Saccharomyces cerevisiae S288C: one gene and its partners. Changing the gene in region 1 together with any one later gene gives a genetic interaction. Each region holds a gene or a part of one and is shown in the gene's direction. Other genes may lie near its edges. The genes, in order: SEC63, CWH41, YET3 and SIL1.

Region 1 (4,062 bases):
CTCCTTACTTTCAATTAATAGGTGGACATGGAATAAAAAATTGACTAATATTGGTAGAAGAACATGCTCTCCGGCGGGTCTACCTAATAGATCATTTTATAAGAACGTTTTGTTCGGACCAACATTGATACAGGAGGATAAATCTAAAAATGGTGGAAATGTAGATTTCTGGACATTTCCAGGAGTGATGGATGCGATTTACGATGATGACTGGAAGAGGGCTCAAGAACAAATTGACCTTATTGGCAAAGTACTCCATCAGTCTGCTGCATTGTTTGTCGAAGAGACTAATGACATCGGGTATAAATAAATTGAACTGAAAGAATACATATTGTAAGTATAAGGAAGTATGTTAATAAAATTTTTTCTTTAATTATGTAATACATGGCATGCAAGCATTTCTTCTTTTTGGGATGCTTTTCCTCTTAGTATCCTATGTTTGTATATATCTTTTTGTTAAATGACACGAGAGAAGGAGACAATAGGATAATTTTGAAATTTCTGTATCACAATCGTATCTAGTTTCTTCTCTACACCTTTGTTTTGACGCGATGTTTCCTCTTCAAAAAGCTTCCCAAGCAACTTAGATTTTCCAATCTCCTGATTATTTCGTTTTTCTTTAGAAGATTTTTTAGAATGCCTGTGCAAAGAGTGATAATCTTTAACTCTCAGGGAATGGTCGTCACAAAATCTGATATATACCGAAGAGACTTCTTCTTCTACATCCTCTTCAAGAACACTAGGCCTAGTCTGCATCTTATTACTCCTACCCCCTAATTTGTCACTTCTTATAGTATTTTTATCGTGAAATATTATTTTAACATCAGCATGGTTTGCTGTGACTTTCTTGATCTTTCTAACGGTTTCTGCGCACTGTTGGTGTTCAACTTTGTGGATGCTTCCGTCTTTTCTCTTTAAATTATTGCCAAAAATTTCATTGTGATAGAACCTTAGGGCATATTTTCTTTTGCTTAATTTTAAACGAGACAAATTGTTCCTTTGCAGTACATATACCCTTGGTGATTCTTGGCAACCCTTGGGAAACCTTGCAATCAGTAGTGGTTTCTTTTTGGAACTTCCTGGACATAGTCCAGACGGTTCATTTATCATGTCCTCAATGTGTATTTCGGAGAGGGGGCTCAAGTTCCAGCGAGTATTATATTGGTGAATGTGAAGTTTGTGGACATGCCACCTCCTCTTTAATTTCCGGCCACTGAACAGTTGACACAGTCGAAAATATAGGTAAAAAAAATGACCAGATTTGGACTTTCTCGGTGAAGGTGGTGCTCTCATGCTTCTTTTCTATTTTGAGTTATTAACGTCTTAGCTTTATAATGTCACAATCTGACTTCATTACTGACACAATCGCTCTTATAACGCGAATTGGTCACTCGTTACGGAAAGGCGTTTTCTGAAAAATTTGTCTTGAACACGTCGAAGATCACTGAACGAATAAAAGATGCGACTGGAACAATAGTCAGTTATAATTGACCAAAGAAGGCCTTCGCAACAAAATAAATATACTGCATATTACAGCACAATGCCTACAAATTACGAGTATGATGAGGCTAGTGAGACGTGGCCGTCCTTCATTTTAACGGGGCTCTTGATGGTCGTCGGGCCTATGACACTGCTTCAAATATACCAAATTTTTTTTGGGGCCAATGCTGAAGATGGGAATTCAGGGAAGAGTAAGGAGTTTAATGAGGAAGTTTTCAAGAACTTGAATGAAGAATACACCAGTGATGAAATCAAACAATTTAGAAGGAAGTTTGATAAAAATAGTAATAAGAAGTCCAAAATATGGAGCAGGAGAAATATTATAATTATTGTGGGTTGGATCTTAGTTGCAATTCTTCTGCAAAGGATTAATAGTAATGACGCGATTAAAGACGCTGCTACAAAATTATTTGATCCTTATGAAATCCTTGGTATCTCTACTAGTGCTTCCGATAGAGACATCAAATCTGCTTATAGAAAATTATCTGTTAAATTTCATCCAGATAAATTAGCAAAGGGCCTAACACCTGATGAGAAAAGTGTGATGGAAGAAACTTATGTTCAGATTACGAAGGCTTACGAATCCCTTACTGACGAATTGGTTAGGCAAAACTATTTGAAATACGGTCATCCAGATGGCCCACAATCTACTTCACATGGTATCGCTCTACCAAGATTTTTGGTAGATGGAAGTGCATCTCCATTATTAGTGGTTTGTTATGTTGCGCTACTAGGTTTAATCTTGCCATATTTTGTTAGTAGATGGTGGGCAAGAACACAATCGTATACTAAGAAGGGAATACATAATGTGACGGCTTCTAATTTTGTTAGTAACTTAGTCAATTACAAGCCATCTGAGATTGTCACCACAGATTTGATCTTACACTGGTTATCATTTGCTCATGAATTTAAACAATTCTTCCCGGATTTGCAACCAACGGATTTTGAAAAACTTTTGCAAGATCATATTAACCGCAGAGATAGTGGTAAACTTAACAATGCGAAATTTAGAATAGTGGCCAAATGTCACTCTTTGTTACACGGTTTATTGGATATTGCTTGTGGATTCAGAAATTTAGATATTGCATTGGGTGCAATCAATACTTTCAAGTGTATTGTTCAGGCTGTACCATTAACACCAAACTGTCAAATCCTTCAATTGCCGAACGTAGATAAAGAGCACTTTATTACCAAAACCGGAGATATTCATACATTAGGTAAATTGTTTACTTTAGAAGATGCCAAGATTGGTGAGGTTCTTGGAATAAAGGATCAAGCAAAGTTAAACGAAACTTTGAGAGTTGCATCGCATATTCCAAATCTAAAGATCATCAAGGCAGACTTCCTTGTCCCAGGTGAGAACCAAGTAACACCATCATCTACCCCATACATTTCTTTGAAAGTACTGGTTCGTTCTGCTAAACAGCCATTGATACCAACTAGCTTAATTCCTGAAGAAAATTTAACAGAACCTCAAGATTTTGAATCTCAAAGAGATCCATTTGCTATGATGAGTAAACAGCCACTCGTCCCATATTCCTTTGCACCATTTTTCCCTACAAAGAGACGTGGGAGTTGGTGCTGTCTGGTAAGTTCTCAAAAAGATGGTAAAATACTTCAAACGCCAATTATCATTGAAAAGCTATCTTACAAGAACTTGAACGATGACAAAGATTTCTTTGATAAGAGGATAAAAATGGATTTAACCAAACACGAAAAATTCGATATAAATGATTGGGAAATCGGGACCATAAAAATTCCATTAGGTCAGCCTGCACCTGAAACTGTTGGTGATTTCTTTTTTAGAGTAATCGTTAAATCCACAGATTATTTCACTACAGATTTGGATATTACCATGAATATGAAAGTTCGTGATTCTCCTGCAGTGGAACAAGTAGAGGTGTATTCTGAGGAGGATGATGAGTACTCTACTGATGACGACGAAACCGAAAGTGATGATGAAAGTGATGCTAGCGATTATACTGATATCGATACGGATACAGAAGCTGAAGATGATGAATCACCAGAATAGATATAAGTGATTAGTATAGTTTTTCATTTTAGCTCTTAGACGTATATATTTCATCTTTATAAAAATAGATACATGTGTATACAAAGCAAAACCAAAAAAAAAAAAAAAATTTTTCAGCCATCTGTTAAGAAATGTGTTTTTTCAATAAGATAGCATCTTGTTCGTCGCCATTTACACCTTTTATGAAATTGTTGACAGTTTCGCCCACTTGTTCGAAGCCATGAGCTATAAACCATTGCTTTGTAAGATCATCCACTGCTGGTAAATAGACAAACACGTTATGTTGATGACATTCTGAGCATTTGTCTTCTGCAAACTTCAGTAATTTTGAACCGATGGATTTGTGCCTATAATTAGGCAACACGCCCAAAAATTCGATTTGAATGCCCTTGAGAGATAGTTCGTTTTGTTTTTTAGGAACTAATTTAGCAACCAAACCACCCACTGGTATTTCACTGTAATAAGCCATCTGTGTGAAATGTACATCCTTCTTCGAAGATGGCTTTTTATTTTTTGCAACTAAGCTATCC
Region 2 (4,688 bases), on another chromosome or scaffold:
TGGAGATGCTCCAGAGGGCAAAAGGTACGACGTTGCTAAGGAATATGTACAGGGAATTCTAAATGGTGCTAAGCATAAGGTTCTGTCCAAGGACGAATTCTTTGCCTTTCAAAAAGAGTCCTTGAAGTCCGCAAACGTTAAGAAGGAAATACTGGACGAATTTGATGAAAATCACAAGCACCCAATTAGATTTGGGGACTTTGGTGGTCAGTATGTCCCAGAAGCTCTTCATGCATGTCTAAGAGAGTTGGAAAAGGGTTTTGATGAAGCTGTCGCCGATCCCACATTCTGGGAAGACTTCAAATCCTTGTATTCTTATATTGGCCGTCCTTCTTCACTACACAAAGCTGAGAGATTAACTGAGCATTGTCAAGGTGCTCAAATCTGGTTGAAGAGAGAAGATCTTAACCACACGGGATCTCACAAGATCAACAATGCTTTAGCACAAGTTCTTCTAGCTAAAAGATTAGGCAAGAAGAACGTTATTGCTGAAACCGGTGCTGGTCAACACGGTGTTGCCACTGCCACTGCATGTGCTAAATTTGGCTTAACCTGTACTGTGTTCATGGGTGCAGAAGATGTTCGTCGCCAAGCTTTAAACGTCTTCAGAATGAGAATTCTCGGTGCTAAAGTAATTGCTGTTACTAATGGTACAAAGACTCTAAGAGACGCTACTTCAGAGGCATTCAGATTTTGGGTTACTAACTTGAAAACTACTTACTACGTCGTCGGTTCTGCCATTGGTCCTCACCCATATCCAACTTTGGTTAGAACTTTCCAAAGTGTCATTGGTAAAGAAACCAAGGAACAGTTTGCTGCCATGAACAATGGTAAATTACCTGACGCAGTTGTTGCATGTGTTGGGGGTGGTTCCAACTCTACAGGTATGTTTTCACCATTCGAGCATGATACTTCCGTTAAGTTATTGGGTGTGGAAGCCGGTGGTGATGGTGTAGATACAAAGTTCCACTCTGCTACTCTAACTGCCGGTAGACCTGGTGTCTTCCATGGTGTCAAGACTTATGTCTTGCAAGATAGTGATGGTCAAGTCCATGATACTCATTCTGTTTCTGCTGGGTTAGACTACCCAGGTGTCGGTCCAGAATTGGCATATTGGAAATCTACTGGCCGTGCTCAATTCATTGCAGCTACTGACGCTCAGGCTCTGCTTGGCTTTAAATTATTATCTCAATTAGAAGGTATTATTCCCGCTTTGGAATCTTCTCATGCTGTTTATGGCGCTTGCGAATTGGCTAAGACGATGAAGCCTGATCAACATTTGGTTATCAATATTTCTGGTAGAGGTGATAAAGATGTCCAAAGTGTCGCTGAAGTCTTGCCGAAATTAGGTCCAAAGATAGGTTGGGATTTGAGATTCGAAGAAGACCCATCTGCCTAATGAGTAATATCTGATAAGGAACGCTTTTATTTAGCTTTTTAACTACATAGACGAATATAATATACGATCGGGATACATTAGCATATTCAGCTCTTTTACCTCTCAATTTGCTCAAGATTAGTATCGTGACCAATTTTAGATCATTTCGGTCAGAACAGCCACATTTTCGCGTAATTTAAAAGTTCAATTATTGTATGCGTGACACACTATATTAGCGTCAACTGTTAATAAGGAAGTAGTGGATAATAACGGTTCAGGTTGCTTCACAATGCTTATTTCAAAATCTAAGATGTTTAAAACATTTTGGATACTAACCAGCATAGTTCTCCTGGCATCTGCCACCGTTGATATTAGTAAACTACAAGAATTCGAAGAATATCAAAAGTTCACGAATGAATCTTTACTGTGGGCACCGTATAGATCCAATTGTTACTTTGGTATGAGGCCCAGATATGTCCATGAAAGTCCACTAATTATGGGTATCATGTGGTTCAACAGTTTGAGTCAGGATGGCTTACATTCGTTAAGACATTTTGCAACGCCTCAGGATAAATTGCAAAAGTATGGTTGGGAAGTGTATGATCCAAGAATTGGTGGTAAAGAAGTTTTTATTGATGAAAAAAATAACTTGAACTTGACTGTTTATTTTGTAAAGAGCAAGAACGGGGAAAATTGGTCAGTGAGAGTTCAAGGTGAGCCTTTGGATCCCAAGAGACCATCTACAGCATCTGTCGTATTGTACTTTAGTCAAAATGGTGGCGAGATAGATGGAAAATCTTCCTTAGCAATGATAGGTCATGACGGCCCTAATGACATGAAATTCTTCGGATATTCTAAAGAATTAGGCGAGTATCATCTTACAGTAAAGGACAATTTTGGTCACTACTTCAAAAATCCGGAATATGAAACCATGGAAGTAGCACCAGGAAGTGACTGCTCTAAAACAAGTCATTTATCACTTCAAATCCCGGATAAAGAAGTTTGGAAGGCTCGTGATGTTTTCCAATCTCTAGTTAGCGATTCGATACGTGATATACTGGAAAAGGAAGAGACAAAGCAGCGTCCTGCTGATTTAATACCAAGTGTTTTAACTATTAGAAATTTGTACAATTTTAATCCTGGTAATTTTCATTATATACAAAAGACATTTGATTTGACCAAAAAAGATGGGTTCCAATTTGATATCACTTACAATAAACTTGGCACTACTCAAAGTATTTCCACCAGGGAACAAGTTACGGAGTTGATTACTTGGTCACTAAATGAGATAAACGCGCGTTTTGATAAGCAGTTTAGTTTTGGAGAAGGTCCCGACTCAATTGAAAGCGTGGAGGTCAAAAGAAGATTTGCTTTAGAGACGCTATCAAACCTATTAGGAGGAATCGGTTATTTCTATGGGAATCAACTAATTGATCGTGAAACAGAATTTGATGAGAGCCAGTTTACAGAGATCAAACTGCTGAATGCAAAAGAGGAAGGTCCATTTGAACTGTTTACCAGCGTTCCGAGCCGTGGCTTTTTCCCACGTGGATTCTATTGGGATGAAGGTTTCCATCTTCTACAAATTATGGAGTATGATTTTGACCTTGCCTTTGAAATCTTAGCGAGCTGGTTTGAAATGATCGAAGATGATAGTGGTTGGATTGCTAGAGAAATTATACTGGGTAATGAGGCAAGGAGTAAAGTTCCGCAGGAATTTCAGGTGCAAAATCCCAATATTGCTAATCCGCCAACTTTATTGCTAGCATTTAGTGAAATGCTTTCTAGGGCCATTGAAAACATCGGCGATTTCAACAGTGACAGCTACCACCAAGTCATGTTCAATAGTAGGACAGCCAAGTTTATGACGAACAATCTAGAAGCCAATCCTGGCTTGCTAACCGAATATGCCAAGAAAATTTATCCTAAGCTATTGAAGCACTATAATTGGTTCAGAAAATCTCAAACAGGACTTATTGATGAATATGAGGAAATATTGGAAGATGAAGGAATATGGGATAAGATTCATAAGAACGAAGTTTATAGATGGGTTGGGCGTACCTTCACTCATTGTTTGCCAAGCGGTATGGATGACTATCCTAGAGCACAACCACCAGATGTAGCAGAATTGAACGTAGACGCATTAGCATGGGTGGGCGTTATGACAAGATCCATGAAGCAAATTGCTCACGTGTTGAAGTTAACACAGGACGAGCAAAGATATGCACAAATTGAGCAAGAGGTGGTCGAGAATCTGGATTTGTTACACTGGAGTGAAAATGACAATTGCTACTGTGATATTAGCATCGATCCAGAAGACGATGAGATTAGGGAGTTTGTATGTCATGAGGGTTACGTCTCCGTATTGCCCTTTGCATTGAAGCTAATCCCCAAAAACTCACCCAAGCTAGAGAAAGTAGTTGCTTTGATGAGTGACCCAGAAAAAATCTTTTCAGACTACGGGCTGTTATCACTATCGAGACAAGACGACTATTTCGGCAAGGATGAAAACTATTGGAGAGGCCCAATTTGGATGAATATTAATTACTTGTGTCTTGACGCAATGAGATACTACTACCCAGAGGTGATTCTCGACGTGGCTGGTGAGGCTAGCAATGCCAAGAAACTGTACCAAAGTTTAAAGATTAATCTCAGTAACAACATATACAAAGTTTGGGAAGAACAAGGTTATTGTTATGAAAATTACAGTCCGATAGATGGTCATGGTACTGGTGCTGAGCATTTCACAGGCTGGACAGCACTTGTTGTCAACATCCTTGGACGCTTCTGAATCTATGTAGATATTTTCAGTCATATAAACAGATATGTAACCAGATATGTACCAGTATGCAGGATGAAAATTATAAATGTTCCAGCTATTCGAAAAGGGCCTCGCATCTCTTAGTTAGAGCCAGCATTTTCAGCTTTTTTTTTCTCGCGTTTATTTACATTTCGATGCGGCTGTGAGAAAAAGTTAAAAAATCGTGGAAACCAGCAACTGGTAACTAGCAGTCTGGGCCATTGCAGCTAAAAGCCAGACAAATAAACAATCGAAAACACACTCGAAACATGCATTATGAAATGTCACATTTTTTTTTTTCTTTTGGGGATTAATGGTTGCGAAGTGAGGTCTTTTCTATTTACTGCGGTAAGATGAATAAAAGTTAGGGAATGTTATTGTTTACAAGCTGGATACTAGATCTCAAAATGTTAAAGTGTAAGGACTGACAACAAAATATGCTGCACCGAAAACAAATTAAGAATCTGAGGAGGGACTATTTAAGTGGAAAGAAAATTGAAGTTCAATGAT
Region 3 (3,071 bases), on another chromosome or scaffold:
AGATCTGAATCCGTTTCAATTTCATTCAAAATATCCTGGTTCTCTAACCAATGAAAATTGAAAAGCTCTTTTAGTTTTTTGCCCATTGAATGGACTTCATTGCCTTCTGGATTGAATTGGAAACAATTATAAAAGACAAGGTTGAGGTCGTCGACAAATTGATCAATTGTTTTGTACTTCCAGTTCATTAAATTATTTGATATTGTACCCAAATCCATAGGATTCTTCACGACATCAAAGTAATTTGGTAGATTCAAAGCAATCGGATCAACAGGTTGTAAAAAGGGAAAATTTATATCCGAATTTTTTTTACTCATCAAAACCTTTAGTATTTTCAGACAAGTCCTGAATTTTTTTTGTAAAGTCTTTGATTTTGGTTTGGAGTTTTCATATATATCAAACAAATCTTTTGATTTGGGTGGATGAATTGTTCTTTTGGGTCTACCACCACTGACGCCTTCTCTATTTCCGCTTTCCCCAATATTGTCATTGGTGGTACTAACTGAACGTCTAATGACAAGTGGGGAATCCATATCCTCATTTTTTTTCCGGTTTCTGCTTGTTTTCTTCAAGGCAGAAGCGGGTAAAACTCTTGGTGGCATTGCAGATAACTTTTTTTCAAAATACTTTTGAATCCTTTTAGCCATCGAAGAGATTGAAGATTCTGGACCATTAAAGTTTAAACAATTATCCACCATTGTTTTGAAGTCCGATGTGACTTGCTCTACTGAATGATACACGTTGCCCTGCAATTTTGTTTCAATTAAAGACAAATCCATTGGGGTTTGAACGTAGTTGAAATAATGCGGGATGTTCAAAGCAATAGGATCAACCGGCTTCAGAAACGGTCTAGCATCTTTTAATCGTTTGGTCGCCTTAATGGAGCTTAAAAGGTATTTACTTTGGTGTGGTGGTAGTTCCTCCGCTTCCATTTCAGCTTCCAACGCCGGCTCTGTTTCCCGTTCTAGGCCCAAAGGGTGCTCGGGAAAACTTTCCGGAGTGGATGCATTACTAATGGAAATGGGAGACAAAGTTTGGTGGGCGTGGGATGAAGAATTCAGGTTAGTGATACCGCTGCTCGCAAGTTTGTAATTTTCCTCGTGTCCATAGTGGAAGATATCCCTGAAGTGGGGTCCATCGTCGATACTTACCGCGCTGACATTACCGCTATCGTCACCGACGCCGACATTGATATTGTTTTTGTTACTACTACTCTCGCTGCTGCTGTTGCTGCTCCTGCTATTTGCAGTAGCACTCTGTGGTGCTGCCAGTAAAGCAGAATGTGCGTGTCTTGTATCCATGTTAGTACGAGACATAGCCGCCGAGGTTTATTTCGCTCAATCTGTTTGTTTCAGTTTTTCCGCGTTCTCTCTTTTTCGCTCTTTTCTGGCTACCGCGCCCGCCTTATATATAAAATCTCTTCCGAATAACAAAGTGGCCGAAACAAGCGCCAACGTCGACCATTTTGCCACCGTGTCACTGTGCACGAGCAACGAAAAACTGGCGTTGGTTGCGCCTCACGAATTGCTTGAGCCTCTTCCCAATATCATCGCGCATTTATTTGAGTCATTCTCTGCCGCTTTATTATTAAAAGTCTGTGTGCTATCAAAATGCTCTTGCTCCTGTTCACCCTCTATGCGTAAACACTTGCGCGTTTCTCCCTTTCTCTTTTAGCGTTGTTGACGTTGCACTCTTTTTTCGCCTCTTTCTTTTTTTAGCTAGAGGGTCACCCTGCCTGCTTCACTCCATTAAGGGGAAGAAGAGTGGAAAAGTGCCGTATATAACAATGGTATATAGCAAATCCCGATTTAGTAGGAAGATAGAATAGTGAGCTCTTCCAAGGTAACCACGTCACATTATACTCATAACCATAGAATTCACAGAATTGAATCATGTCATTATATTACACCTTGGTTTTTGCCATTCTAGTGGTGGAGATTTTCATGTTCTCCATTCTAGCCCTACCAATCCCTTCTAGATACCGTAGGCCTCTCACCTTACTGTTATTAAAGCCGTTCAAATCCTCCACAGTGCAAGTTGCGATCAAGTGTGTACTTGGGTTCATTCTTTTGCTTTTCATCGATTGTATCAACAGAGTGTACAGCATCGACAAAGAGCTGCAGTTAAGTAGCGCCTCTCAAAATAATGGCGCTATAATCGCTCAAGATAGAATTGAGGTTCTTTCTAGGAAATTCTTTGCCCAAAGGAATATGTATTTGACAGGTATAACTTTGTTTTTGACCTTTGTCGTCGTTAGGACTTTTGGGCTAGTCATAGAACTTTTAACCATGAAAGACATATACAGAGCATCGCCTCCAGTAGCCTCCAGCGATGTCAAGAAGAACGACTCTGTTACTGCCGAAGCTGCTGCTCAATCCGGCGCTTCCAAGGATGACCACGGCGATGAGAAAAATTTTGAACTATTGAAGAAAATTCAGGACATCGATGACGAAATTGCACGTTTAAAGGAGAAGTCGGAATCGTTGCAAGAAGAAATAAATTAGTTTGACGTTTTATTCCTTTTCTTCTGCACAGAAGTGTGTATATATATATTTATATATAGTCGATGTGCAAAAGCCTACATTATTTTTCTTTTGATTTTTATTTTTTTGTTCAAGTAGGTTCATGCCGACAGTAAATCCTTATGCCCTACCTAAATATAAACACCCAAATATATATATATATATATATATATATAAATAATAAAAACGGAAAGGAAATAGAATAATAATAATAATACTACACGTTTACGTATGTAACTCATTCTATTATTCAGACTTTGATATTAATAGAATTATTACTACTAGGTTTCCTCACTTCAAAATCTATAAATATACCGTCATGCTCTAATCGATTGGAAAACTCAAAATATTCTCTTACTGTAGCATTGAACGTCTCAATTAAAACACAGATTTTTTGTATCCTTGTTCTCAACTTCATATCTTGGATCTGCTTCCAAATTGTCACCTCCCGCCCCCCAGTAACTTTCAAATCTTCCACATTCTGATTACCAATTTTGGCTACATCTTGCTCATCTTCCATACATTTGCCAAAAATATTAAAATCAGGCA
Region 4 (3,720 bases), 540 kb from region 1:
TTGAAGTCGAGGATGATGATTCAGAAGATGAAGAAGCGGAAGATGAAGATGAAGAGGAAGAAGAGGATGAAGAGGAGGTGTCGTCGTCTTCTTCGTCGTCATCGTCCTTAGCATCACAACTTTGTTGGGTGGCGATTCCGGTTCCCATAGGAGAACCTGCTCCAGATGTGAAGTAAGCAGAAGCAGCACTTGGCATAGCAGGCAAAGTGTTATTAGCTTCCCAGACACCCTTTTCATAATCAGGACATGTAGAATAGTTGTTGGAAGTACTGTAACCACCATTGCCTTCTGGGTTGGATACTTTGCTGTATTCATTTTTCAAGTTTTCAAAATCTGTCAATTTAGTGACCTTGTCACCATCAATTTGAACGAGCCCGTAATTGTTAGTTTCATTGGAATATTCGTAGACTAGCCCACCGGAGAATACAGAAGACATTTGAGTGGAATAGATAGCTTCAATTTCTGTGAATGGACGAGAGCTCTTGACTTGGTTACAACCAAATTCACTTAAGAAGACAGGAACGGAGTAATCTTGATATAGCTTCATCTTGGTGGAATAACCCGATACCACAAATGAAGATTCACCACACCAAGAATAGTCATTAACACCAAACATGTCGATTCTAGCGTCAGCTTCATCACCACAGTTAAAGTATTCAGCAGCCAATTGTCTGTTAGCGACGATATCAGCAGCCGAGTAACCTACCGGAATTTGTCTGTATTTTCTAGCCTTGATGTATTTCTTCATGTCCCTGACCACTGCCTTGACATAAGTAGCAGTGTTGGTAGTATTAACACTATTGATGACCTCGTTACCAGCGAAAAAACCTAGAACATTGTCGTAATCAGCAAAGGTATCAATGGTGGCAAAGACATTTTGTAAGTAGTCAGCGTTATAGGAGCAGGCTGGATCGTAACGAGAAATAGCACTCGTGGGGGTATTGACATCCAGGATCAAGTATATACCGTTCTCCTGCAATAGTTTCATACAATGGGAATGATCTTGCGAGTTATCCACAGTATAAACTCTGACAGTATTTATCCCTAGATCTTTCAGAACGGGGACGTCTCTGTCACAGACAGATGCGTCTGCTAAGGGATCAGTCAAGTTAGAAGAACCACCAGGCTGGTAATCAACACCACGGATATAAAACCTTTCACCTGATTCCGAATTAAAAAATGCATTGCCTTTAATTTCAATGGATGGTGTGGAACTGTTACTGCTGCTAGCAGCCTGAGCCAAACCAGCACTTAAAACGAAGGCACTTGTAAGAGAACGTAGTAACATAGCTATTTAGAGCTGTGTGTGTAGCGAGTGATATATAATATGTTTGTTACAGCCCACTGTTTACTTTTATATACGAAATGCAACACTGTCAACAAATCAGTTCAGGGACCTTCCTATTTATAGTATAAGCAAAATAAAAGTGAAAAATTTCCTGCGGAGTTTTTTTTCTCGAGAAATTGTGAACAAAAGAAAGCAAAGACACAGAAGATGATAAGAGAGAGAAACAACGAAGAAAGAACAACAATGTTGGGGTTCACCCGAGAGATATTGACATACTGACCTTAGAAAAGGCATTACTGAGGCTACTGACTAAAGCGCGTTACATAAATGCATAGTATATTTCTTGTTGTATACGCAGCGGCCAACTAGTGGCAGCAAGAATGTAATGAACGATTCATCTGCAGGTTTGGAGGCCGCAACTAGATCAAAACGTAAATAGCGGGTGAAGTGTTCTGGACGTTAGAAGTAACGTCCGCAGATCGAAGCTAAACACGAGATTAGATTTCGGGTAACGGAATTGTGATAATTAAGAAAGACCAGACTATGTGAAAAGGCCACGTAAATGATAGAGCACACATTAGCAACTATAATAGACTAGTTTTCGCATCGCTGGAAGTTCTCGATATTGAATATCACTTCCAAGAACGCAAACTTAGAATGGTCCGGATTCTTCCCATAATTTTGAGCGCCCTATCTTCGAAATTAGTGGCGAGTACAATATTGCATTCATCCATACACTCAGTGCCATCTGGAGGCGAAATCATATCTGCAGAAGATCTTAAAGAACTTGAAATTTCAGGGAATTCGATCTGCGTTGATAATCGTTGCTATCCTAAGATATTTGAACCAAGACACGATTGGCAGCCCATACTGCCAGGTCAAGAACTCCCCGGTGGTTTGGACATTAGAATAAACATGGACACAGGTTTAAAAGAGGCAAAACTAAATGATGAGAAGAATGTCGGTGATAATGGTAGCCATGAGTTAATTGTATCTTCAGAAGACATGAAAGCATCGCCTGGTGACTATGAATTTTCCAGTGATTTCAAAGAAATGAGAAACATCATAGATTCTAACCCGACTTTATCTTCACAGGACATTGCCAGATTGGAGGATAGTTTTGATAGAATAATGGAATTTGCGCATGATTACAAGCACGGCTACAAAATTATTACCCATGAATTCGCCCTCTTGGCCAACCTTAGTCTCAATGAAAATTTGCCGTTAACATTGAGAGAGCTCAGTACTAGAGTCATTACCAGCTGCTTGAGAAACAATCCTCCTGTAGTCGAGTTCATTAATGAAAGTTTTCCAAATTTTAAAAGCAAAATCATGGCCGCTCTGTCAAATTTGAATGATTCTAACCACAGATCCTCTAATATCCTAATAAAAAGATACTTGTCCATTTTAAACGAATTACCTGTCACATCCGAAGATCTTCCTATATACTCTACGGTTGTTTTACAAAATGTATATGAAAGAAACAACAAGGACAAACAGTTACAAATAAAAGTCCTGGAGTTGATCAGCAAAATTTTGAAGGCCGACATGTACGAAAATGACGATACAAATCTAATTTTGTTCAAAAGAAATGCTGAGAATTGGTCGTCAAATCTGCAAGAGTGGGCAAACGAGTTCCAAGAGATGGTCCAGAACAAAAGTATAGATGAACTACATACAAGAACGTTTTTTGACACCCTTTACAACTTGAAGAAAATTTTCAAAAGTGACATCACGATCAACAAAGGGTTTTTGAATTGGTTAGCGCAACAATGTAAAGCCAGGCAATCTAACTTGGACAATGGGCTCCAAGAGAGAGATACTGAACAAGACTCATTTGATAAGAAACTTATCGACAGCAGACACTTGATCTTTGGCAACCCCATGGCTCATAGAATAAAAAATTTCAGAGATGAACTCTGATTTCACTGTCATTGCATATATAGTTTAATATTAATAATATTTTTTTCAATTAATATTTCGTGAATCTTATTAGAGATATATTATATATCCGTGTCTAATTTTTAGTTACTTCATCCAAAAACGTCCCGTCGTTGGCCAGTCTATTTCTAAATTTGTCCCACCATGTATCAAACCTCTTGATGGGCACGTTTCCCTGAGCATCTAGGAACCCTGATAAATAGTTATATGCATGCTGAACGATTTTGGCGGCCAATTCTTGTGTCAATGAAGGGTAAACTTGTGCCAACTGCCCTGCCGTGGTAATATTTCGAATTATTCCTAAGTTAGGTCTTGACAAGATCAATGAGTTGTTCTTTTGTGCTTCGGCATTCATGCTGGCCTTCCACTCTTCTAATTTCATCATTCCTTGTTCTCGAGGCTCAATGGAAATACCAATAATCAATTCTGATATGTTATTACTGCTACTTCCATTGGTGTCAGTAAACGGATCAGCGGCCCCCGAACCATCA

The links.
Region 2: mutations in SEC63 (region 1) and CWH41 together harm fitness more than expected from each alone (negative genetic interaction), as found in Saccharomyces cerevisiae (4 studies listed by BioGRID).
Region 3: mutations in SEC63 (region 1) and YET3 together harm fitness more than expected from each alone (negative genetic interaction), as found in Saccharomyces cerevisiae (3 studies listed by BioGRID, with this or other methods).
Region 4: mutations in SEC63 (region 1) and SIL1 together harm fitness more than expected from each alone (negative genetic interaction), as found in Saccharomyces cerevisiae (4 studies listed by BioGRID, with this or other methods).

Annotation. Positions count from the first base shown.
Region 1 is NC_001147.6:804,502-808,563, reverse strand, and holds SEC63 (protein-transporting protein SEC63), read left to right. Parts: upstream 1-1,540; coding exon 1,541-3,532; downstream 3,533-4,062. Other genes in the region: TRE2 (putative zinc metalloprotease), read left to right, coding at 1-310; OSW1 (Osw1p), read right to left, coding at 457-1,293; peptide alpha-N-acetyltransferase subunit NAT5, read right to left, coding at 3,657-4,062. UniProt on the Saccharomyces cerevisiae protein: Acts as a component of the Sec62/63 complex which is involved in SRP-independent post-translational translocation across the endoplasmic reticulum (ER) and functions together with the Sec61 complex and KAR2 in a channel-forming translocon complex.
Region 2 is NC_001139.9:443,123-447,810, reverse strand, and holds CWH41 (mannosyl-oligosaccharide glucosidase), read left to right. Parts: upstream 1-1,667; coding exon 1,668-4,169; downstream 4,170-4,688. Other genes in the region: tryptophan synthase TRP5, read left to right, coding at 1-1,399. UniProt on the Saccharomyces cerevisiae protein: Cleaves the distal alpha 1,2-linked glucose residue from the Glc(3)Man(9)GlcNAc(2) oligosaccharide precursor highly specifically. Seems to play a role in beta-1,6-glucan synthesis.
Region 3 is NC_001136.10:329,269-332,339, reverse strand, and holds YET3 (Yet3p), read left to right. Parts: upstream 1-1,892; coding exon 1,893-2,504; downstream 2,505-3,071. Other genes in the region: BDF2 (Bdf2p), read right to left, coding at 1-1,316; AHK1 (Ahk1p), read right to left, coding at 2,773-3,071. UniProt on the Saccharomyces cerevisiae protein: May play a role in anterograde transport of membrane proteins from the endoplasmic reticulum to the Golgi. May be involved in invertase secretion.
Region 4 is NC_001147.6:265,755-269,474, reverse strand, and holds SIL1 (Sil1p), read left to right. Parts: upstream 1-1,945; coding exon 1,946-3,211; downstream 3,212-3,720. Other genes in the region: GAS5 (1,3-beta-glucanosyltransferase), read right to left, coding at 1-1,288; OPI10 (Opi10p), read right to left, coding at 3,306-3,720. UniProt on the Saccharomyces cerevisiae protein: Required for protein translocation and folding in the endoplasmic reticulum (ER). Functions as a nucleotide exchange factor for the ER lumenal chaperone KAR2.